2 linked regions of the Schizosaccharomyces pombe genome follow. The protein of the gene in region 1 purifies or fractionates together with the protein of each later gene. This does not show direct contact. Each region holds a gene or a part of one and is shown on either strand. Other genes may lie near its edges. The genes, in order: ctr1 and smd2.

Region 1 (13,283 bases):
TTCACTGATTCAACAATTTATTAAATTTCAATATGCTTTTTACCTTTAAGACATGTTATAAGCCTTCAGACACACTCATTTTTTAAATATTAATGGCGAATATTTTACTTTGCTGGTTTGTTGTTGAATAGCGCAGATAGCTATTACTTGATAGCGTAATTAGTTAAACTCGCTTTTATAAAAAATAGTAGTAGTTGAACAAGCTTCTATATTAGTAGTTTAACGAATACGTCTAGAAAATTTGCTATACTAGTATACGGCTTCAGGTACATATATCATCGGTAAAAATTTTTTTGGCTATATATAGCAGCTTGTCGCGCCGTACCAGCAGTCAAACTAAAAAACTCCCAAATTCTTTTAAACGGGCTTTTGGTATAGGTTGTGAATATAATGGCAAAAAAGGATAAAACCTCCGTTAAGAAATCAGTGAAGGAGACTGCATCAAAGAAGGGTGCCATTGAGAAACCTTCCAAGTCCAAGAAGATTACTAAGGAGGCTGCTAAAGAGATTGCAAAGCAAAGCTCTAAAACCGATGTCTCCCCTAAAAAATCTAAAAAGGAGGCTAAGCGTGCTTCTAGTCCCGAACCTTCAAAGAAATCAGTAAAAAAGCAAAAGAAATCTAAGAAGAAGGAAGAAAGCTCCTCAGAATCCGAGTCTGAATCTAGCTCATCAGAATCCGAGTCTTCCTCTTCAGAATCCGAATCTAGTTCTTCAGAGTCCGAATCATCTTCATCTGAATCCTCTTCGTCTGAGTCTGAAGAAGAAGTGATTGTGAAAACTGAAGAGAAGAAGGAGAGTTCCAGCGAATCATCTTCCTCCTCTGAGTCTGAAGAGGAAGAAGAGGCTGTTGTAAAAATTGAAGAAAAGAAGGAGAGCTCTAGTGACTCTTCTTCCGAGTCTTCCTCATCTGAATCTGAATCCGAATCTTCCTCATCTGAATCTGAGGAAGAAGAAGAGGTGGTCGAGAAGACTGAAGAGAAGAAAGAAGGCTCCAGCGAGTCTTCTTCTGACTCCGAATCCTCGTCAGATTCCTCCTCAGAATCTGGAGACAGCGACTCTTCCTCTGATTCTGAATCCGAATCCAGCTCTGAAGACGAGAAGAAACGTAAAGCCGAGCCTGCTTCTGAAGAAAGACCTGCTAAGATTACCAAGCCTTCTCAAGATTCTAACGAGACTTGCACTGTTTTCGTCGGTCGTCTTTCTTGGAACGTAGATGATCAGTGGTTAGGGCAGGAATTTGAAGAGTACGGTACAATTGTTGGTGCACGTGTTATTATGGATGGCCAAAGCGGTCGCTCAAAGGGTTACGGCTACGTTGATTTTGAGACCCCTGAGGCTGCTAAGGCTGCTGTTGCCGCTAATGGTACCAAGGAAATTGATGGTCGTATGGTCAACTTAGATCTCTCTAATCCTCGCCCAGCCAACCCTCAACCATATGCTCAACAACGTGCGGGTAATTTTGGAGACCAATTATCTGAACCTAGTGATACCGTATTTGTTGGAAATTTGTCTTTTAACGCAACTGAAGATGATCTCAGTACGGCTTTTGGCGGTTGCGGTGACATTCAATCCATTCGTTTGCCCACAGATCCTCAGTCAGGACGTCTTAAGGGTTTCGGTTATGTTACTTTCTCTGATATTGACTCTGCCAAGAAATGTGTGGAAATGAACGGTCATTTTATTGCTGGTCGCCCATGTCGTTTGGACTTTTCAACTCCTCGTACTGGTGGAGGTAGCCGTGGTGGTCGCGGTGGATTTGGCGGTCGTGGTGGATTCGGTGGCCGTGGTGGATTTGGTGGCGGACGTGGTCGCGGTAGAGGTGGTGCTCGCTCTGGAAACCCCAACCGTGGCTCGGTTGCTCCATTTTCTGGGAACAAAGTCACTTTTGACTAAGTATACTGGCTTTTAACTATATTGAGTTCATTTTTATGGGTTAAATGTAAATACCTTAGCAAATTAATATATGAGTTTGGGTTTTTGGGAAACTTTTTGGCATAAAGGGTTTTAATAAATGTTGGGCTGTGGATTTGATTTAATTGGGTTGAAGTATTCAAATACAAATGACTTGTTTGGGTTTGTTATGGAATGAATTTGGGTTTGGTTTGGTTTTATTGACTTTATAAAGATAATAAATATGGGCCCGTTGGTTTTACAATTTCAAAGCAGTGATGGTTGGCGTTGTTCTACGGTTTAGTTCATGTATTCACCTTTCCTTTATACGTTCCATAGAAGCTTTTGACATAGCTTTAGATAGGTTTTAATATAAAATAGAATCTTATTTAGTTTTGTTCTTGTTCATCTAATCAATCCATGTTACTCACAATCATCGTTGATCACTTTCTAATAGCTAGTAAATGAAGACCGTTTTGTGTTCCTTTTTGGGCTTTTCCATACGGCACTTTAAATTAATGATTTTTTGTTGAACTTTGATTGTGGTCTTACCCGTAATCATAAATGAAGAATGTAGTCGAGCCATTGTCATATTGTCTTATATCTTCAACTTGTAATGTCTCGTCTATTAAATTAGGTAAGCATCAATAGAAGGTATCATTGATTCTACATTACAAATACGCTTCTATTTCAACTTTTAAATTAATACAAGCATGTTTACTTACACTTTGGTTGCGATTATTTTAAGCAAATTAAAAAAAAATATTTTTGTATATCAAATTATAATATAGCTAAATTCAATTGTAACAGTAGTGATGAGTTCTGGCATATTCAAAAAACGGTTGTAGAATAATATATCCAGCGTTACTAAATCCGGCAAAGGAACTGTCTACTTAACTCTATGAACAAAGCTTCTAATACAACACTGTAAATTTGGTTCCTTAGATTCCCCTTACCACACTGATAAACTAGTAAATCAACTATACGACTAGTGTACTGACTTTCCAGTCCAGATGAAGTGATTGAGTGATGGCAGAAGGTGATTTTAAAAATGACAGTACAGGTTGTATTGGCGATAGCGTGGAATTTACTACTTTTAAAAAACGTACAGGAAAAAGTCTCGGTAATAGAAGAAAAAAGAGGGTATTTCTTAAGCTTTAGAAAACCCGTCTAATAAATATTAGGGATTGTCTGGATGGGAGCCTTATTTTCAAGAACCCGAACTGACAGCTGAAGAGAAATTGGAAAATGAGACATTATACAGCAGGTGAGAATACAAAATATTGTGTCTTACTAACACTTCTAGGAACATACCATTGACTGTGTTAGTAAACAGATGTTAAGGACTTTGCTGACAAATTAGGCGAATGGAGCGATTTATTCAAAGATATCGATCACGCAGAAAATGGAGCGACCCTACAAGAATAAGACTGTTTACAATGTATCTAGATTTAGGAGGCGTTTCTACGGGCCAAAAACAGTTTACAGGGGGTACTGATATTAATAACGATGCGAAGGCACGAGAAGTTTCCGCTCAAACCACGACTGATTATATTGAATACGATATACTTGATGAATATGATATTGATTTTAAGTGGGTTGCTGGAGTATTTCTGTGAGTCATTTATGTTTCCATTGAATTTAATTCACGTTGTATTTTAGCTAATCAATTTAAGGTCGTCACACATTTTGTATAACGCTGGACTAACTAAGGAAGAGGATTTGCAAATAGCTTGTCAAATTGTTAGAAATTTTCTGCTAAGTGTTTTGCATAACAATGTTGCACCAGAATTCGAAGATAATATTCGTGACGCATGTTTATTAGCAGAGCAAGCAGAAACTGAATTAATTTCTAATAAGAGGCTATCAACTAAACTTCCCGGTAGATTGCAGCGGGCATTGGCTAGTATACATGTTGACAATTATAAAGGCTTATGGGACAAATCGCAAAGTGATAGGACAAGTGATAGTTCAGTCAATTTCATTGAATCCAATAATACCAAATTCATGCCAAATGATGAACTATTTGAGCCTGATGGAATTAGTAGATTTTCTACACAGCAAGCGCGCGACTACATCCAGAGAACTCTTGGTCCACGATATTTGACTGGGAAAGTCGTTGAACAAGAGTACTTAACAGTCAAGTTAGTTTCTAAAACGCTATTGAATTTTTCAAACCAATCTTTATGCAAAGCAGTGTTTATCGTTTGGGATCCACCCGGATCTAAATATTCTCAAGATACAAATAAGGAAAGACTAGAAGTAATTTTGGAATCTGATTTACTGAACAACACTGTTGATGGCACTCACTTAGAGGGATCGTTCACTTTTTTGGATAATGGACTGACTATATTAGACACTGTGCTTGCTGTGCTACCCACCTTTTATGAAGAAGTTAAAGATGAATAGCATTGTATTTTAATATAGTTACTTTTGTAATATAGCTGGATATGAAATCCTTTAATTAGTTGCTTCTTCTTATTGTGATGAGGATAAAGTTCTAACATATATTAATGACCCGTTGGTGAGTTCGTACTTCCCCCAATTGCATAAACAATAAGTATAAGAAATTATAATTCCCAATCACATAATAGATATTACTTGTGTATGTAATTTAATGTTTTCAAATATTTTTATACAAATACGTCAAACTATGCGACAATATTTTGAAAGCTAGATCGTGCAGAAGTCGCTTCTGAGTCAGTATTGAGCAATAAGAATTATTCGGATGATTTTTTCAATAATCTTAAGTTACTGTCAGGCTCAATGCAATAAACACGATCAAAAGAACATTTAAAGCTATAATGTGTATTCACTTTTAATTGTAAACACAAACGATTAAAAAATTTACGTGTATAAGTATTTTTCCTCTATGAAGGCTAAAACGTTATGTGGAAAAGAATAGTCAATCATCAATAACGTTCATAACTTGTACTATTGAACAAGTCGTGCTGGGTAAAGATAGAAATCAAGTAACTGGATTGGAAGTTGTGATTAGCATAGCGAAACGCAGCGCCTATGGCGAAATAACCCAGGTGAGGAAAAGACACCTTACAACTCCAAAACGACGAAAATAAATTGGTAATTGTTTTACTGGGTTAAGTGTATTGTAGAAGCATAATTGAATTGAAGAAAGTAATTGCTGTTCTTTTGGACCTGTTATTTTTGTACAGGAGTAAGCAAACTACGGCTTTCTGCAATAACTTGAATGTTTTGATATATTTACACATTCTCAATAATTTAAAAGAATTGAAAATAATTATTAAATTAATTAAAAAAATTGAAGTATCGAGTAGATGAATGTTGGAAAGAAATCCGAAATTCAAGTCTCAGCTAAAAGCAATCTTAACTTCCTTAATGAACTAATTGAGGAAAAAAAGCGATACGAGGACGAGAAGCGCAAGATTAGCCATCAAAAGTATACCGATAAATTATTGGAAGCCAATGATAACGAGACGACCAAAAGGAAATTACTGGTAAAACAAAAAAGAAAATCCAACAAGGAATTTCAAAGTAATATTATCAAAAAAAGAAAGGACGAGGAAAGAAAAGGAACTTTAAAAACTGAACAAGCTAATGAGGAAGAGCTGTTGCAAAGAAGTCGTCTGGAACTGGAACGAAAAGCTAAAAAATACGACCAGTATGCTGCCGGAGAACTGGAAATAAAGGAGACAGAAGATGATGGAATCCTTGTCGACTTCACACGCAAATGGGCTGAGGAAGCACCCGAAAATGAAACAGTTGAAATAACGGATGAATTTGGGCGAACCAGGAGTGTCTCTATTTACGAGACCGGTAATACCCTACTTTCACAAAAGGAGGAGTACAAGCCCGAAAAGCCAATATACGGTGACTATATGCCATCCTTCGAAGTAGACGAAGAAAAGGTTCAAAAATTGTGGAAGGAAGATGAGCAGCAAGCAGTTCATTATGACTCGACTAAGGAAGTAAGGAATAAAGGTACGGCATTTTACCAGTTTTCTTTTGACGAAAAAGAAAGAGAAGAGCAACTTCTATCTTTAAAGGAGATTCATGCTAAGGTTACACAACAGCAGAGAAAAAACACAGAAGATGTGTTAACCTTACGAGACAAAAAACTTGAAGAACGGCGGAAATTTCTTGAGCGAGACTATGCAATAAAGTTGGGGGAGAGATGGATGTCTGAACATTTTTCTAATAATTGAGGTAGAAACTAATGAAATGAAAACGTAATGATAACGACTCATAAACAAAAGCTTCTTAGCGAAAACAGAGAAATGTAATAGTACTGTAGGAAAAAAGGAACACGAAATCACCAAAAACAGCAGTAGTTTTCTTCTTTTTTGTTTTATTTTAACGAATTATTTATTTCTGATTATTGAATTCACAATCAGTATGAATGTGAAATATTAAATTATGTATTTTGGAGAACCATTTTTTTGTTGCGTATTTATAAAATTAATAAGGGAGAAAGGATAGGGAAAAAAGCACAAAACATATTAGCAAGAGTATACAAGCAAGTGAAAAATAATAACCAGTTGGATGGTCAGCTTTACTTAAGCATTCTTTTATAAATTTTTTAATTGGCGGCAGAAAAAGGAAAAAAAATAAACTGGACGGCCAAATATATCAAAGCAAAGAAACGTTCTGAGGATATTAAGAGGAGAAAACAACTTATATGTTTTAAAAACAAAAAACAGAAGGACAATCTATTAAAAAAAGAATCAAAACTCGAAAGCCAGCTAAGACTGTAACGGAATTAAGAGGACTTTGGGTGAACGGCTTTTGAAGGCTTTTGGATGCAACCGCCTCCAATTTCATAAAGTCGGTACAAAGCAAGGTATCCGCATACCACAATGTCCAAGACAATAGCACTCAACGTTGGCAAAATCAGAAGAAACGCAATGGTGAATGCGGAAATAACCACAAATTTGATAAGGAAAGACAAAATTTCTTCAAGCAACATAACTAAGTATATATACAAAACTAAAAGATACGTTTTGAAATGCGGAAAATGATAATTAGGAAACAGAGGAATATGACTCAGACTTTCAAAACAGCAGTTATAACCGACCGTGTACGTTTGTAAAAACAATTGAGAATATTATTAAAGTTACTATTCTCGTTTTTAATATTGGATCACTAGAAGATATTGATTTGTATGGGTTGTAATTTGAATTTCAGTAAATCAATGGCGGTAGATAATAAGGTAAAACTGAATTCCGCTGTCGAATTCAGGGCAATCTCAGCATTCCCGAGCGGTGCTTTACGAAGTGTAGTGGTGTGCGTTATTTTGCTGAAAATTGTAAACACATAAAAAACCAAACTTCAGCAAGAAGAATAAAAAAAACGGAACTGATTGGTTGTTTATCGAAATTTTTGCTAGTTGAAATACAAAATTTTTGTTTAAATATTAGTGCGAAAGAATAAGGTCTGCAAAAAAGAAAAAATGGTCTGTTTATTAGAAAAATAAGCGAAAGTTGTTTAATGTTTATACCTTTCAGTGCGCTTTTTCCATTAGTATAACTTATTTTTCGTTTTCAACCCTCTTCTATCGTTTTGAAATTTTTTTTATATTAATCGTACCATCATCATTCTCTACTCGTTTCTTGATGTTTTCGGCAATGACATACATTTGATTATACAGCCAAACCCAGTGAAATTGTGTTGGAGTGCAAAATGTATTACGACACGATATACTATGCAATTTTTTTTACCAACCGCGTATAACGCATACGGCGTAATAAGCCGTTACCATATCGTTATTTAAAAGTTTTAATTAGAAAACAGCGTAATATAACGGATATGCACAAAATGCGTTAGCATTGAAAGCTAATGAGGTCTTGTGTCTCCACACTCGAAATTGCGGGGCTTGACTAAATTCAAGAACAACAAAGAGAAATGCCTGCTACATAAGGGATTTTGCCTGTGAAATGTGCGCAGCAGATAAATGTAGATCACGGAAAAAATTTAAAGTAGCACTTGGATAGTATGATGCGTTTACAAGGAAGTTGCTCAAACAGCAGAATGTCTGGCTGTAAACAGGAAAATGTCGCAGGGGGCGAAGTGATAAAACTCAGGGTTTCATGAAGTAAAAAGTTTTGAAATTTTTTACTAAGGTCCAGAGTTGGCTGTTTTTGTAAATTTTTAATCAAGTTTGCATGATTGCTAAGTAAAAGTTGAATGTCCTAATTTGCTCGTCCGAATGTGCTCTTTTTTTTTTTTCAGCGCACTCGTTAGACAGATAAAGTGAATGTTTTGCTAGGCCATTTTCTCGTTCTATTTTGCCTCGATTGAAACGTGGTATGTTTGCAGCTAAAAGGTATGTACAGTTAAGCCCAGTGGAGACAAAGATGAAAAGGAAGTAAAGCGAACTATGAAGCGAAACTATAAAGCAAAAACAGCTAGGTCGGGGAAAATTTCTACAAGAATTGCTTAAGTTCTAAAAATTTAAGTGTTTACTTTTAGCAAGAATAAATGTGTTTTCCTTTATTTTATTTTGTATTTTTTTTTTCTTTTTTTTTGGGGGGGGGGTAGATGGGGTGCAGCGACTCTTTTAGCAAAAGCTGCGTCCACCCATAAGTGCGAAAAGACCACGTCTGTCTTTATTTGGCGTTGTCGCTATTGATTTGAATATTGGCAATAACTATAACGCTTATGCCAAAGAGAAACAAGTCGGTATAAAAACAGGTTGATATTTTAAAGCGCGATTTATTAATGTAGTTGTTAAATAATGCAGTATGGTACAGGAAAGGAATAGAGAGCAAGGTAAAGAAAAGAAGTGATGAAGGAGGGAGGTAAGAAAAAAAGAAATCTCATATTGATTTTTTTTAAAGGTATTAAAGAGTATATTTAGAATGTTTGGATAAAATATATATCTCATGCGTCCATATTCCTTCAGTCATTCATTCCTTCATTTATATACCTCTACATCTCTTTTTTTCTTTCTTTTCTTTTTTGTTTTCTTCATTTTCATTTTCATTTTTCTCTTTCTTTCCTTACCTTTTTTTTATTCTTTTGATTAGTTCCTTTGTTTGTTTACATGCGCTTGCATCTTACTTTGTCCCTCTCCTACCCCTCCAATCTCATAGTACAACTACTTACTCTCTATGCTCTCTCTCACATCCTTTGTATGCTTACACTCTCTCCCCGTCGCCCCTACGTATTACCTGCAACCTAGTTATCAAATTATCCTTCCATTACCCGGAGCTTCTACATCATCCGTTGTCAACACATTGGCCAGATCCCGCTCTCTCCTCCTAATTCGTTTCTAAAATCGTCCACATCGTCTATCTATGATAACATCGGTCTCCAAGCATTAGGGGCCTTATCTTAGATAAAATAGCAATCACTCGTCCTTTTATCAGGAGCGTGGTAGCCGAGGCCTTTTCTTGGCCAATGAAAAGTCATCATCAGTCATAGACTATGAAAAGGAATGCTACCACCCTTATCATTGGTGGTTGTTTTTGATACTGTTTAAGCGAGGTTATTTATTATTACGTAGGTGCATTGATTGTTATTTGTTTAGAGTGGACATTACTGGTGTTGTTAATAAAATGCGTATTTGCGTTAATGCAGGTGGAGCATGAAGAAAATTGAATTTATCCTTTACCAAATTCAACATTACTACTCTCTTATTCCTTCTTCCTTCTTCCTCTTTCCATCTTCATTCCCATACCCTACATCCATCCTTGATTTCCATCATTCCATACATTAGATACGTACATCTATCTAGTTAGTTACATTAGCCATACACTACACTACATACACCCCATTGATCAACTCTTTCCATTCCATTTTTTTCTTTACCGGATCGTGATTTGTGTATTGTCGATTCATCGTGTATTAACATCATCCATTTCAATCTCACTATAAACTGGTTGCCTTTTAGTTTGTTTTTGGCCCGAGATATTGGTTTTCTTTCTTTGCTCTACTTCCCCCTTGCTTCCATCCATCCCTTACAACTTTGGTCTTTTTTGTCGCTTGTTACCTATGGCCCTATCGCTTTTTCTTTTCCAGCATATATTGTGATTTGGTTTTTTTTTCTTTCACTGACAGTCCTCTTTCAACGAATCCCTCTTTATAAGGCCTTGTATTCTTCTTCTTCTTCTTCTCCTTCTCCATTAAACTTTGTTGCTAATCGATCCCCTCAAATCGTCGTCCAATCTTGGTTTGAAAAATTTTTTATTACAATTATTATTTTTGTTTCGTTACGAACTTGGCTAATCAGCTAGTTACGAGCTCGTCTGTTCTACTCTTTTTTTTTCCGCTTTTTTCTTTTTTCCCCTTTTCATCTTTCATCCTTTGCTTTCTTCCATGTAAGCCATATATATTTATTTTCTGCTAAAAAAATATTCTACTTATCTATCTGTCTGTGAATCAATCTTTGTCTACAAAGTTTGAATTTTTTCTTTTTGTGTCAACTCCCAATCACCCATTTTTGTTCCATTGTCGTTCCCTCTTTTGCTATATCTTTTGCTAGGCTTTGCCGTAAGTCTTTTGGCATTGTAGCGCAGTTAACGATTTGAAAAGCGTAGCAACAATTATTTGAATTCATAACTCATTTTTTCCATTTTTTGAATAGGAATATTCATTACAACATACTCGCGATTGTTTGTTTCCCCTTGTTCTCTGAAAAACATTTTATTTTTTAACCCTCAATTCCTAATTTCTGTTTGAAAAATCAATAGTCTACGAAGATAAACGTGTCGCTTACTTTTTTTTTCTTTTTTGTATATTTTCGTCTCTTCATTCAACACTCTCAATTTGGTTGAATAATCTATTGGGATCGAACTAAAAATCGCGTCGGATTCCAAATCTTTCGCTTTGTAAATCTGTTTTCATTGCTTACGCTACATTTACTATTGTTTTTTAATTGCTTTGTTCCTTTTTTTTTCTTTGCACCTTAACTTTTATTTTTGGCTTTCTACCACTTTAAATGTGTAAATAGGTTTTTCCTCTTCCTTTTCTTTTTTATAATCACCTATCTCTTCCTTCTCACTATTTTTTTTGTATCGTGTTGTGAACTGGAATACGTGTATCTTCCCATCTTTCTTTCTCTTAAAAAAAATTGGTCATATATCACATTTTTGTTCCTTGACCATTTTCCTCTCTTGCTTAATCCGAAAACGACTATTTAAAAATAAGCAATATATTTAAATATCTGGTTATTATTAGGTTTCGTTTTATACTTCAAAATATTTATTTAGTTTGATTCTTGATCCCACTGCCTTCTGAATCTTTATTTATTGCTTTTCTTCAAAGCTATGAACGCTCAACCCTTTCATAACAACACTTCAGATGTGCAATCCTTTCAGGACATTATAAGCAATTCCTATCAAAAACCTTTGAGCTTAGTTGACAGTACTGATCGTGCACTACCGGATTCTTCTCTTTCAAGCTTATCACGATCTACCTTTCAATTTCACAAGCATCACCTTTCTGGCAATGAGAATCCTCAGCCCTCTTCCGAAAGCCCCTACTTCACTAACAATGAACGTTTGAATTCCTCTAGTTTCCCTCAAATCCATGATAATCAATTATCTCCATCTTTTAACACTTCTTATCAAGCCATTCCTTCCTCCTCCTCTAATCGATCCCGTGGTGGTCCTTACACCCCAAGCATTCGAGATGACTCTCTTCTAGCTTTACTCAGTTTCTCCTCGAATCATCGTCTGCATTCTATGCCCTCTCAACTTCAGCCTTTTAATAATGCATCATCATACACTACTCCAATGGCCCCTTTTACGGCATCCTTTTCTAACAAGGTTTCTCATTCTGCTTACCCCACAAGGAGGCTACCTAGTCAGGCAAAAAAAACATCGGCAATAGAGAGAGTTCCGGTCAATCTCAATTTCCTACAGTCGGACAACTTGGTTGTGCAGTCATCGCCGCAAACGAATTTTGAAAACTTTGAGTTTCCGAAAAAGATTCCATCAAAAGAAGATTTGGAAACTCGTGAAGTGTTATTACTCCCTCCGCAAACGTCTAAACTCTCAAACAAAAATTTGGACACCAAAAGTTTTACCGATGTTAACAAAATTTCCCAACAAGGATTTGTGGAAATCAGTTCAAATTCTTCAAAAGTTACCCCCAATACAAGCTTGCATCAATCCTTTGGCATAGCAAGCTCCTCTTCCAATAATTATATGCAGACATCGTCTGAACTTACCTCTTCTACCGAGAAGATGAATGGATCGCATCCTTTGCAATTGTCGAATAAGTCATTATTGTCGATCCATCTTATGCAGTCTAAAAACCAAGGTCATGTTTCGATGACAGGTTCAGATAAACTCTCTTCTCATGTACAGTCCGAAACCGAGAATGCTCCTGTAAGTAAACCAAGTAAACCAAATACTTTGACTGAAGATGAAAAACCTTTACAGTCTACGAAGCTCCCTGGAAATTCTCTTACTGTTGGTGAATTATACCAAGAACCCAAAAGTATCCAGCTGCCCGAATTGTCTGTTTCACGGACTACTTATTCGGCTCAATCCTCTTCTGTCAAAAATTGCAACGAACGCATTCCCTCTGCTAAAGCTCTAAAAAAGCAAAAGCATTTAGTTCCGGAAAACAAATCAAAATTGCAATATGTATGGCAGAAAAAAGAAAGCCTCCCTTATGCTAACCTTACTTCCGCAAGTAATACGCACTTTTTTCTGTCGGAAAACCAGAACGACACTTCTGAACGGTTGACCCGTACTTTGAGAAAAAGCACAAAAAACTATACGTTTGGCTCTTATATATTGGGAAGGACAATCGGTACCGGCGAGTTTGGAAAGGTTAAACTTGGCTGGCCTTTACCAAAAGCCAATTCTACTATTCACCGCTCAACACCGCAAGTTGTAATTAAAATAGTTTTGTCTACGAAGCAAAACTGTCAAACAAGCCGATTGATGCGAGAGGTGGCCATTTTAAAAGGTTTGGGTAATAATCACCCCCATATTGTAAAATATTTGGATTTTGTAAAAACTAAACATCATTTTGGTATAGTACTAGACTATGTTAATGGTGGTGAACTTTTTGATTATATACTGGCGCGCCGAAGACTTGAAGATTCGGTTGCTTGCCGACTGTTCGCACAATTAATAAGTGGTGTTGCCTATTTACATTCTCGAGGAGTGGTACATAGAGATCTGAAGTTGGAGAATATATTGCTAGATACTAATCGAAATATCGTAATTGCGGATTTCGGCTTTGCGACTACTTTTGGGCACTTTAATACTCTCAGTGAACACTCATTGCCCACGGAAAAGCCAGATTTATTTAGTACATCATGTGGATCGCCTTGTTATGCGGCCCCTGAATTAGTGAATTGCAAGTCTGGAATGTATGCTGGCACACAAGCAGATATTTGGAGTTGCGGTGTCATTTTATATGCAATGTTGGCTGGGTATCTACCATTTGACGATGAT
Region 2 (12,183 bases), 2.4 Mb from region 1:
GGATGATGCTGTTTCCTGTCGCGCTCTTGACAATGGCACTTATGAAGTGGGTGTCCACATCGCTGATGTTACTCATTTTGTAAAACCAGATTCAGCATTGGACAAAGAGGCAGCTTCGCGGGCTACAACAGTATACCTTGTGCAAAAGGCTATTCCGATGCTTCCTCCTCTGTTGTGTGAACGACTTTGTTCATTAAATCCCAACGTTGAGCGTCTTGCATTTAGCGTTTTTTGGAAACTCGACTCCAATGGTAAGGAAATTGGTAAGCGTTGGTTTGGCAAAACAGTTATAAAGACATGTGCCAGACTTGCCTACAGTGAGGCTCAAGGTGTGATCGAAGGAAAGTCCTGGGATGATGCTGTAGGCAAACCGATAGGAGGTACGCATACTCCAAAAGATGTTGAAACGTCTATATTAACACTTTGCGAAATTTCGAGAAAGCTTCGCAAAGATCGATTTGCTAAGGGCGCTGTAGAGATTAACTCGACAGAACTCAAATTCCAATTAGATGAATATGGAATGCCGAATAAATGCGAGGTATATGAGCAAACCGATGCAAATCATCTCATCGAAGAGTTTATGCTTCTCGCCAATAGATCTGTTGCTGAACATATCAGTAAAAATTTCTCCAATAATTCCTTGCTTCGTCGCCATGCAAGTCCTAAAGAGAAACAAATTAATGAGTTTTGTCACTTTCTAAAAAGCATGAACTTCGATTTCGATGCATCGTCTTCAGCTGCATTTAATGCCTCTATGGTACGACTCAGAAGCACTTTTAATGAAGAATTGGTAGAATTATTTGAAAATATGGCAGTTCGCTCGTTAAATCGTGCTGAATACTTTTGTACTGGCGATTTCGGTGAGAAAACAGACTGGCACCATTACGCTCTTTCATTTAATCATTATACCCATTTTACTTCTCCGATTAGAAGATACCCTGACATTATTGTTCATCGTTTATTGGAACGTAGCCTTAAGAACACATCCCCGGGTATTGACAAAAAAAATTGTTCGTTAGTGGCTGCACATTGTAATGAAAAGAAGGAGAAATCCACCACTGTGCAAGAAGATAGCCAGCAACTCTTTTTGTCTGTATATATTGCTGAGTATTGCAAAAAGCATGATAAGAAATCTATGCCAGTTCAAGCATTTGCGACTAGAATATCTGGAAATTCTATTGATGTCTATATCTCTGAATATGGAATATCCAACAGAGTAGACCTCAGTTCAGATGATAGAATTAAAAGTTTTATAGTTGCTCCCGATGACTCCTCTGTTAAAATTACGTTGTTTGATGATTCTCAAAAGACTATAGCTCTTACGGATCGTTTCCAAGTTTATTTATATTCTGATTACAGTCGTACATTTTTCAGTATTCGCTGTAGTCTAGTTTCTTTGAATTAAAGGCCTAGTGTTGTTTATGAATTTTTGACTGAAATATAACTTTGTTAATTTTGGGTCAGATTACCTTTTATTTATGATGCATGCCACCTATTGAATGGTTGTTCACGTTTATCCTACACATTTTAAAACGCTTATTATTATTACTATTATGTTTCATGGATTATGACAATTGAATGACTTTGTTATGCCCAGACGACTTATGTTTGATATATTTTTCTCATTCGTGAGAGAAACACAATTAAAATAAAAAATTTAACATCAATAAGAAATTTCTTTAGTTAACAAATTCACTTTGGCTGCAATTGTTGAATATTTTATTTATACCTATACATACAAGTAACAATAGACATTGTGACCTGAGTAAGGTACTCAGTTTTGTGCAGCAGCTTTTCCACTACTCATACCGAGGAGGATCTTGCCTCGATATGGATTTTTATAATCATGCTGCCAACATACTTTCAGATTTAAGTAAAAAAAAAGGATCAATTAAGCAATTAGCATTTAATTCAAAAAAACATGATCCAAAACGCACTTATGCTTTGGTTTGCGAAACTCTCAAATGTAAACAAGAATAGTAAAACTTTAATATAAACGATTTGACTAACTTTCTTCTTTTATATAGATAAACCTGTTTTGGATGAAATAATTGCGCGATCCGAGTTATTAGTTTTAGAGAAAAAGGTACAAATTAATGAAACGATAGTTGTTTCGTAATTTTTTGAAGCTAACCTGGTTATTGTAGTTAAAAGAAAATTTGGCTAGAGTCCTTGTCCATGATTTACTGATGTCAAAGCGAGGGTTATCCATTTCAAATGGTCCTATCAAGGAATGCATTCTTCGTCACAAGACACGCCTGAACGCCGAGTTTGTCAAACTCAAGGTGAAAAAAGGGGTTAAGAGCCATGAGGAGCTGGCATTGAAAAATCCTGTGTCGCTCCCTCGCTGGCTTCGAATAAATACCATTAAAAGCACAAAAGACGAGGTTTTGCAAGGTTTAGGCTTGGATAAAGTCAGTTCAATTGAGGAACTGGGCCCCGACAAATTTTATATTGATGATTGTGTTGAAAACTTAATAGCCATCGATCCATCATTTCCTATAGTTGAAAATTCATTGTACAAGGAGGGGAAAGTGATTATTCAGGACAAGGCATCTTGTTTTCCTGCTGCTGTATTGGCCGGGCTAACTGGTCACGTTGGTGATATAATAGATGGATGTGCTGCTCCAGGGAACAAAACTACTCATTTAGCTGCTTGTTTTCCAAAATCTCATATATTTGCATTTGAACGTGACGCGAAAAGAGTGCAGACACTTCGAAAAATGGTGGGAATATCAGGCGCTAATAATGTCACCATCGAACATCAAGATTTTACCCTAACTGATCCCAAGAGTGATCTTTACCGAAATGTCACTCATATCCTGCTTGATCCTTCTTGTTCTGGTTCTGGAATTGTGAGTCGTCAAGACTATCTGCTGGGTAATGAACAAGACGTTACGGAAGATACCGAAAGACTTGAAAATTTGTGTAGTTTTCAGTCTACCATTTTAAAGCATGCTTTACAATTTCCTAACTGCCGCCATGTCACATATTCTACATGTTCAGTGCACCGTTTAGAAAACGAACAAGTAGTATGTGAGGTTTTGTCGCAAGAACCTGACTGGAAATGTAACTCTTTGACAAAAACTCTACCCAACTGGAAAACTCGAGGAATTCCAGAGTATTGTGCTCAACCTTCAATGGCTGAAGGAATGATTCGGTGTAAACCAGGAGCCGGAGGTACTATTGGTTTTTTTGTAGCCAATTTGTATCACCCTCAAAGAGAGCAAGAAACTTTCAAAATGTATAAAAATGATGATGATACCAAAAAGCGTAAGCGCAAAAAGAAAAAGAAGGAAGTGAAGAAAAAGGCTCGCATACAAGGTGAAGAGTAAATTCATCAAAGCATTAAGACAAATTATCGCATAGCACTTATTCAACAAAGTGAGAGAAGCTATCGTTGTATGATCTCAATTTCTATAGACAATTTTTTGTGTTTTTGGAAAACACACATATTTAATTTTTTTTTCTTTACGGCTTTGGTTAAGGACTGGATACTAAAAAAAAATACACATCTTACGGGGACTAATCGGAAATGGATATTAAGTAGGCAAGATAAGTAATCATTAAATTTGAGCATTAACTAAATGAGCCTGAGGAAATGATGAAATTGTATTTAAAGGGATTACTAAGTCTTTTTCGCTAACCTAACAACTATATGGTAAGAGTAAGAACAACATTAGCATGTGAACAACTACGATTAGCCAAATCATTATCTTAACAATTTCAAAAACAGTAAGGCTTCTCAAACAATGTTGTATTGCTCAATCATGAAAAAAAGAAGAAACGACCGTTGTGTTTATACTTCCATGCACATCCTGCGAAGGTGAATCCCATCGCTATCGCACTGCCCAAGACCCGGTAGTGATGTGCATTGTTTCCAACCTCCATCGGTACTACACGGTTTAACTGCCAGTTGCCACGAAGACTACTCTTCGAACAGACGTGGCAGATCGAGGGATCGAAAGCGAGACTCGAACCCGAGACCACCGAACATGCACTATTGGGAGTACTAAACACTTCGACCAAGCCATTACAGCGAATACATATATGTATTAATAAATTATATAGAAAATAAATAAGTTAATTCGCATAAACAAAAGTTTCAACTTTTCATTGCAAACCCTTTAAAGCTTTTCATCGCGTGCACGCATATTATAAAAAAATATGATCTTATTTCTTTGTAAATAATAAAAATTCTCTCAGCTTTTATATAGTTGCGAAGAAGCATTTACTATTGCACAAATAGCCTTTCAAAATTCGAGTTGCCATGGTGTGAAAAACATGACCAACAGAGATTTTTGTATTAAGTTCATTGCTTATCCCTCTACCTTTCTTCAGAAATAACATTCACTCACATTCTGATAGTGCAAACAACCAACATTATAACTCAATGAATTAAACGAAATATAATAAGCTAAGCAACACGTAGTCAATTAAAAAAAATAAAAAAGTGCTATGAATGAAATCCTTTATTTTACAAACCTCTAAATGATGCTAAAGAAAAGCAATGACAAAAGTCAGAGCTACAGCCTCTCAAAGGTGAACACGTGGAGAACAAAATAAAACTACACTATTGCAGAAAACGACGGTATCACATCCAACTTACATTACAACATATCATAGGCAAACACTATAAGTACAAATATGACCTCGTGTGGTTTTATTTGCACATTAAACTCACTATTCCCTAGCTCGGCAGCAATTAAAGATTTTATTCATAGCAACAGGTCAGATGCTGCAAGTAGGAGTTGCATAGGAAATTGAAGGCGAAAGACTCTCTAGGAGTGAAAACATAAACCCCGTTAAACGAGATCCCACGAGTAGAAAGAAATGGGATTGACGAACAATTAACAAGAGATAAAAACAAGTATTGAAGTAGCTACACAATATACATTGCCAAGACAAATGCACTAGCTAAAAGCGAAACTTTTTGCATCTGGATGGCTTTAAATAGTTTTGACCAAGACGAAAAACATTTAGGAAAAGAAAACAAAACTTTTGAGTAGCAACGCAAAAATTGCTTTAAAACTATTGACTTTGAAACTGATCACTAAAAGAGGAGGGAAAATAAATCACACAAACTTAACGATACAATTACTCGTCCACAAGTCTACTGACGAAGAGGAAGAGGTATACGAAGAAAAATACAGCAAAACATGCCAGCTTGAAAAAGGATCGTTTTTGTCTAGAGGATACGTCTTTGAAGATGGTTGTAGAGTCGTGCATATGAGTGTTGGACATAATCATTTTGGCGTTCCAAGCCAACATGGGTACATTGAGAAGGAAGGTGATCCAAGCACCTGACAATAATAGAAGAAGGGCACTGAAAGCTTGAAAACCCATTTCTGGTAGTACATACCAGTTCAGTTTTCGAGACACTAAATAGGGAAAAAGATTAGTATATATACGAATCAGAGACATTTATCATTAATATATATCGTTAGAATGTGATTATTTTAACATACAATCAATGGGATTTATGAAATCGTCTTTCAAATCAGAGTACATCACTGTAAAGTACATCTGAAGCATGATATTTGCACATGTAAGCATAAGGCTGGTAAAATAAATCCAAGCAGACACCATTTTGGATGTTTAGACACTTATTTTGAGTTTTCAAACTTTTCTTTTCGATGGGTGTAATAAGATAACTTGTCACAACTCATTGATGGTAAAATGAGCGAACGAATCGTAACGACCACAAGTTCGAATCGCACTGTTGACATGAATCTTTACCAAATGGTAAGGGAACTCGAAAAATCTGGAAGTTTGGTTTTTATGTTTACTAATCAATTAGTACGTTAGTATATTTTTTATTTTTTATTTTAAAGAATGGGCTTCGATTGAATGATCGTAAAAAAAAGTGAATTCAAGAGTTCTATGCTAATATAAATCAAAGAGACGCATGCATGGACTATGAAACGTAAACACTTCAAGTAGAAGTAATCATTGTGTTATATTCTTTAGCTTTAAAACCGCTTTAGTTAATAAAATATATAGTCTGGGTTGAAAACATTTACAATTATTCACACTGTATAGAATTAAATAATTTTACGATAATTCGATCCTTAAATATCATCATCAACTTGTTCCTCTTAGTTGTAGAAACAATTCTTATGCGTTTTTTTCGTAAACAGTCGTCAAATATTAAACTATTTTTGTTTTGCAATAATTCAGCCAACATTCAATTGGCTTCTACAATGAACATTCATTCTTAAATTAAAATTTTCTAGAAGAATAGTATGAAGGTTTTTAGCTGTTAGGATACACAATTCAATTTGTTATATTGCTAGTGTACCACTTAGTGCACATCTCAATCATTTATAATGCTTCGTTCTTTCTCTATACTACACAAGTTACCATTGACTCGAGTGTTAATCAAATTGCAATTGTATATACGAAAAATATAAGCATAAAGGTGAGGCTCTGGAGAAACAAAAAGCTATTGTGACATTTTTTTGGAATACAAATAATTTTGAAAGTTTTTGGGAATTTCGCAAGGATTTCGAACCCTTATATAAGAATCGAATTACAGTCATTTAACTATTGATCATTTGGTACTTTTTTACTCTTTGGTTTTATTTAAATCTTTCAAAAGGATGACGGGCGCAACGTTAACTGTTCGAGTAATTCGCAACTTTGAATATCGGACACTGAAAAACGTCGTTTTCCACGACATAGATCTGGCCACTACGACTGTAGACCAGTTCAAAAAAATCATCGATGAACGCATACAAACGGATCCCTCATTGAAAATCTACCGTACTACCCATTTTGACACGTTGAAGATTTATGTGAAAGCCCAGCAGCACAAAACCCAAAACTTGGCTATTAATTTAGACCACGATGATTGGATTCTTAATGATGGAGCCAAAACATTGTCTCTTTGTGGAATTGAAAATGAAACTGAGTTGTCCTACTTTGAACTTGCTGCCTACAAGGCCTATCAAGCAAATCCTGTACAAAAATGGCTTTAGACATGCATAACTTTATTAAGAGTTCAATTGTTGGTGTTAGGAATAGGAGATGAGTTTACCTTTGTTATTTAAATTGAATATTTTTCAAACTACGCTAAAAAATTCCTGATGTCTTTATTAGTGCAACTATTTAAAATTACCTAGGTCGCTGTTGCAATTCATGTATTGACAATAGCAGAATGCATTGTAGTGAGCAAAAGTATGTAGAATAATAAATGATACAAAACAATACGCATTTTAAACCAAATGTTGTAAACATCGACTTTATGACTTGGTACCAATAGCACCAAGGACGTCCCTATCTACATATTTATATAAGAACAAAACATTTCTCATTCATCAAAACGCTACACCAATACTTAATAAAAAGTTATTTTAAAAACAAGCAAAAAAAGAGTTGCGCGGCCAGGTTTCGATCCTGGGACCTACGGGTTATGAGCCCGTCGGAGTTCCACTCTCCTACCGCGCACAAATACCGTCACCAGCAGGATTTGAACCTGCGCGGGCAAAGCCCATTAGATGACTAGAATACAGGATTCAAGTCTAACTCCTTAACCACTCGGACATAGTGACTTTAGCTGTACATTTATCATGAAATGTAATTTATATAGCCAAAATCAAAAATTTCTATGTAATTTTTGATAGGAAGTTTCCAATGCTCAAATGGTTGATTTCACAAAAGCATTGCTTTATGTTAAGAAAATATTGTTTTTGGTGTTAGAATATATTTTTTTTATTATCAAAGTAAACTCCTAAAACTACAAGCTTGTCTATTCAGCTTAATTTCCATAAGTAGCTAGTGTTCATCCTTCAATTCAATGACTTTGCATTTGAAAGGATAGTTAGTTTATGAGACCTTAGGGATTTTGTGATTAAGTAGTCCAATTATACTTCTAATGTTATAATCAATAAACAATTACAATGCATTCAGTTTTTTATATCCCACATTGAAAGTTGTCAGGTATGAGTTAAAGTGTGTGATTAAAAGATTTTTTTTAATTAATAATAAGATATAGTAAAATATTGAACCGAAATTGATTTTCAACATTTCGCTTCTAACTTGAAATCCATTTTGTGCAATCTTGAACTTGCTCGTTAAATAGCACTTGTCCTTGACCCCCAAGAGACTTAAAATTCTACCATTTTTGATATTCCTAGCTTGTATCGTTCTAATGGCGTATGTCTTTTGTCCTTTTATCTAAAATTTTTTGATTTCTTTTTTCTAATAATTTAGCGATTTGGTTGATAAACCTAGAAGTGAACTGAGCGAAATAGAACTCGCTCGTCTAGAAGAATATGAATTCTCTGCTGGTCCATTAAGTGTTTTACAACAAGGTATACTATATGATAGAATGTCAATTTTAAATTTACATACTAATGGCTCTTCTGTTTTAGCGGTAAAAAATCATGATCAAGTTCTTATTAATTGTCGAAACAATAAAAAGTTGCTTGCTAGAGTAAAGGCATTTGATCGCCATTCCAACATGGTATTAGAAAATGTCAAAGAGGTAATAATTTTTTTCATCTTTTAGTCTCTCTTTCCATCCACACTTGCTAATATATTCTTAGATGTGGACCGAAAAAAAACGAACAGCTTCTGGCAAAAAAGGAAAGGCTATCAACAAAGATAGATTTATTAGCAAAATGTTTCTTCGTGGTGATGGTGTCGTTCTTGTTGTCCGTATTCCCTCTGCATAATATACCCCATTTTCCTACCTAATGGATACTTAAGTTAGAAACGACTTCAAAATATCCCGATGTGCTTACAAAAAACTATTTTATACGTGTGTTAACTTTATTATTAATTAAAGATATCTTTATTTGAAAATAAAAAAGGCTCCATCTGTAGTGTCTCTCTAGTTGTGCCTTGAATGTCTTTCGTAAAAAAAAGCGAATGAATTGCAGAAAGCTTTCAGATGTAGCACCCATCTTTCCTAAGAGATTTATTATATAAAAAAAAGAATGGTTATGACACAAAAATCATATTATTTTCATTACAAATATACAATGCTAGCATATTCATTACTGTGTAAGTGCATCATGGACTCCATGCTTCAATACATCCTCAATCTTCCAACGAGGAGGTTTAAACCAACCTTGATTTTTCTTCATCTTTTCAACGTTAGTCTTACCCACATCTTCACCAGCTGCACCGGTGGAAAATTTCAACTGAAGCTTCTCACCAACTTCATCACAAGCTCTCAAAAAATAATCCATGTCGGCTTTATTGTGACTAGCGGAGAAACAAAACCTCACTCTAGAGGTCAACAAAGGACAGGCAGGATACCCAACAACAACAACGGCAATTCCACGCTTCAACATCTCATGAGAGAACGCATTGATTTTGCCAGGATTATACAAAAGCAACGGGACAACTGGACTATCATCGTTTCCAAAAATAATAAAGCCAAGTCGCTTCAACCCCAAGCGTATATAGCGGCTATTAAATGCCAGGCGTTCGATCCTTTCTAAACCAGCCGAAGTTGGAGAGTTATCCATAATTTCAAGAAAGCTCGACTTGATCTGTGCAAGGACAGCAGGGCTCATGGATTCAGCATATACATAGCCTGGATTTGTAACACGTAGCTTATTGATAATATTGGGAGTAGCGCTGATATATCCGCCTGCAGCACCAAACGATTTTGTAAAAGTTCCCATCAAAATGTCTACGTGGTCAGTAGAAATGCCGAAGTAATCACAGATACCACCTCCACGAGGTCCAATAGCACCAATTGAATGAGCTTCATCAATGAACAGATAAAATTTGTAGCGATTTTTCAACTCGACAACCTTAGGAAGGTCGCAGAAGTTACCTTCCATGGAATAGAGACCTTCGATGACAACCAGAATTTTAGAGTAAGGACGATGTGTACGTGGTTGACCTTGAGAGATTACTTCGCGCAAAACACGCTCTAAATCAGTCATATCATTATGCTTGTACACACGAATGTTTGCACCAGAGAGACGGGCACCGAAACGAATGGAAGTGTGATTTAACTCATCTGAAATAATGAGAGATCCGGGGCACATAAGGGTGGAGAAAACAGTAGCATTAGTGCTAAATCCTTGAGAAAAGACCAAAGCAGCAGGTTTACCAACAAAATTTGCCGTTAATTCTTCAACTTCTTTATGCAACCCATAAGTACCACAAATGGCATTTGAGCTGCACGTAGACAAACCATATTTTTGCATCGCTTCTTCAACCTTCGTGGCACAAGGACCATGACTTTGGGCAAAACCAAGGTAGTTGTATGAAGAAACGTTTAAGGCTAAAGATGTATCACCAGTTAGTTTAAAAGTACTATTGCTATCAGTGGAATAGCGATTCATGAGACGAATGACACGACCGGGAACACCCATGGTAGGTCGGCTGAAACAGTCGTTAATACGATGCTGAAGACGACGTACATAGAAGTTATCAAAATGATTGTAAAGGGGAGCATAACCATCATTGTCTTTGAGATACTTATAGTCATCCTTATGAAATCTTTTACCGAAAAAGTCGCGAACATGCCCTATAATGATAAGCACCAGATAGGTTAAATAAGTTGCGACCACATAGTAATATGAAGGCTCATCTTCGAATTGAAAAAGCTCGGCGCCATCAGGATTTTTGGAAACCCGACGATGAGTAGGATCGGTGATGGGAGCAAACTCATTCTCCAACAAATGCTCAGAGTTTAGCTTTTCAGCAGCAACTTCCTCAGCCTCGAGTTTTGCACTTTCCGTAGACAGGGGAGGGTTTTCGACATGATCAACCTTCTTATGAAACTCAACTTCCTTTTTCTCACTTACATCAATAGATGTAGGGGAAACAAAGTCCGCTTGAGCCATTTTTGGTTAAGTGAAACGAAGTCCAAGTGCGATTATTAAAGCCTGAATTTTTTGAGATGCGAGATACAACAAAAATCTGTTTGCGATAAGTTAATCTGAAGGTAATGCAAACGAAATAAACCAAATAAAAGAAAGCGCTGTTTTCAGAACACTAGATAAGTCTCTAATGACAAGCGTAGGCGAATTATTTGAAGCACTGCTTATCAATCTTTTCCTGAGACACCCCAGCAATCCACTCAAATGAATTCTAATGAATGTTTTTAATTAATTAACAAAAGGAAGTTAATCTAACCCTTTTTCGTCAAGAGAATCAAGTCTTGTAGAAAAGTGCAGTGGCAGGTATACGCAAAAGAAACGTTTCACCCTACTCTCTTTGGTTGCGGCATTTCCCCTATAACGAACCGCAGCGAATTTTGCTGTAATACAAAATTCCTTCAAATATACAATTCCTTAGATTAAGAAAAAAACGATCAAATTTTTATTGTAGACGGATGTGCTGCCAAGGTACGATTGCCACCATTGAATTCCGTTACAAGTAAAAAAAAAAGGGTTTAGGCTAGACGAAATTTCTTACTTAATTGAATTGCGATTAATAGTACTAGTACCACAACATAAACATACAATTGACATGTGTTCTTACTATTTACACTGAGTGGGAGAATGCGCAAATTAGCTTTGAGTTAGATGTAGAATAAAAATGAATAATTGATAGAAAGAATAAATAAAAGAAGAGAAATCTGCAAACTTTTTCAATTTATGAATTTTCACTTGGCGTAGACGATAACTCATCTAACCAGATACTGGTGTTCAGCTGAATAGGTATTCCATTACATGCCAAGTCGCTTTTGAGATATTGTAGACGGACCAAAGCAAGCCCGACTTTTCCTAAAATTGCAATAATTTTACCAGGCGATCGACGAGAGACCGGCTCTCCTTGCTTTGCGACAATTGAAAGCGGCGCCGAAGGTTCAATAACTTGAGATGGATTGTCTTCGTAGTTCGGAATAATAAATGGGAAAATCCTTTTTCTTGTTACCCCAGTATAGTAGGTGCGGACAGTGAGCTCTTGACCCAAATAGCAGCCCTTGTGGAAATCGATCCCCTTCATCCAATCCATGTTGCTTTCCAGAGGAAATGAAATACTAGGAATAATCTCTTGAGGCCCTTCTGGTATTCCATTTCGGTATCTAAAGACTTTGTAATCATCTAGCGAGCCGGAGGAAGAAGAAGTGCATGTAGAAGTAGGAACTATCATTCGTAGCAAACGCTGTTTGGAAAAGCGAGGATCTTTTGCGTAAGCGACAGTATCTTTTAACCTACTTTCTTCCTTTACGTCCCAAATTACTTTGATAGATAATTCTTCAGATGG

The links.
Region 2: the proteins of ctr1 (region 1) and smd2 purify together in Schizosaccharomyces pombe (affinity purification with mass spectrometry, with the first as the bait; one study listed by BioGRID). This does not show direct contact.

What each region holds. Positions count from the first base shown.
Region 1 is NC_003424.3:1,897,133-1,910,415, forward strand, and holds ctr1 (protein ctr1), read left to right. Parts: upstream 1-4,943; 5' UTR 4,944-5,186; coding exon 5,187-6,074; 3' UTR 6,075-6,709; downstream 6,710-13,283. Other genes in the region: gar2 (nucleolin), read left to right, coding at 391-1,893; arb1 (argonaute inhibitor protein 1), read left to right, coding at 2,920-3,033, 3,075-3,157, 3,197-3,214, 3,254-3,505, 3,567-4,299; SPOM_SPAC110.06 (uncharacterized protein), read right to left, coding at 8,596-8,688; serine/threonine protein kinase Ppk1, read left to right, coding at 11,136-13,283.
Region 2 is NC_003424.3:4,260,519-4,272,701, reverse strand, and holds smd2 (Sm snRNP core protein Smd2), read left to right. Parts: upstream 1-8,110; 5' UTR 8,111-8,152; coding exon 8,153-8,157; exon of another isoform or gene 8,158-8,214; coding exon 8,215-8,315; exon of another isoform or gene 8,316-8,342; intron 8,343-8,375; coding exon 8,376-8,488; intron 8,489-8,549; coding exon 8,550-8,678; 3' UTR 8,679-8,749; downstream 8,750-12,183. Other genes in the region: 3'-5'-exoribonuclease Dis32, read left to right, coding at 1-1,405; rcm1 (rRNA methyltransferase), read left to right, coding at 1,831-1,966, 2,028-2,086, 2,148-3,335; cor1 (cornichon family protein), read right to left, coding at 5,098-5,381, 5,469-5,589; protein aim29, read left to right, coding at 6,603-6,980; serine palmitoyltransferase Lcb2, read right to left, coding at 9,003-10,814; iba57 (iron-sulfur cluster biogenesis IBA57-like protein), read right to left, coding at 11,569-12,183. UniProt on the Schizosaccharomyces pombe protein: Plays a role in pre-mRNA splicing as a core component of the spliceosomal U1, U2, U4 and U5 small nuclear ribonucleoproteins (snRNPs), the building blocks of the spliceosome.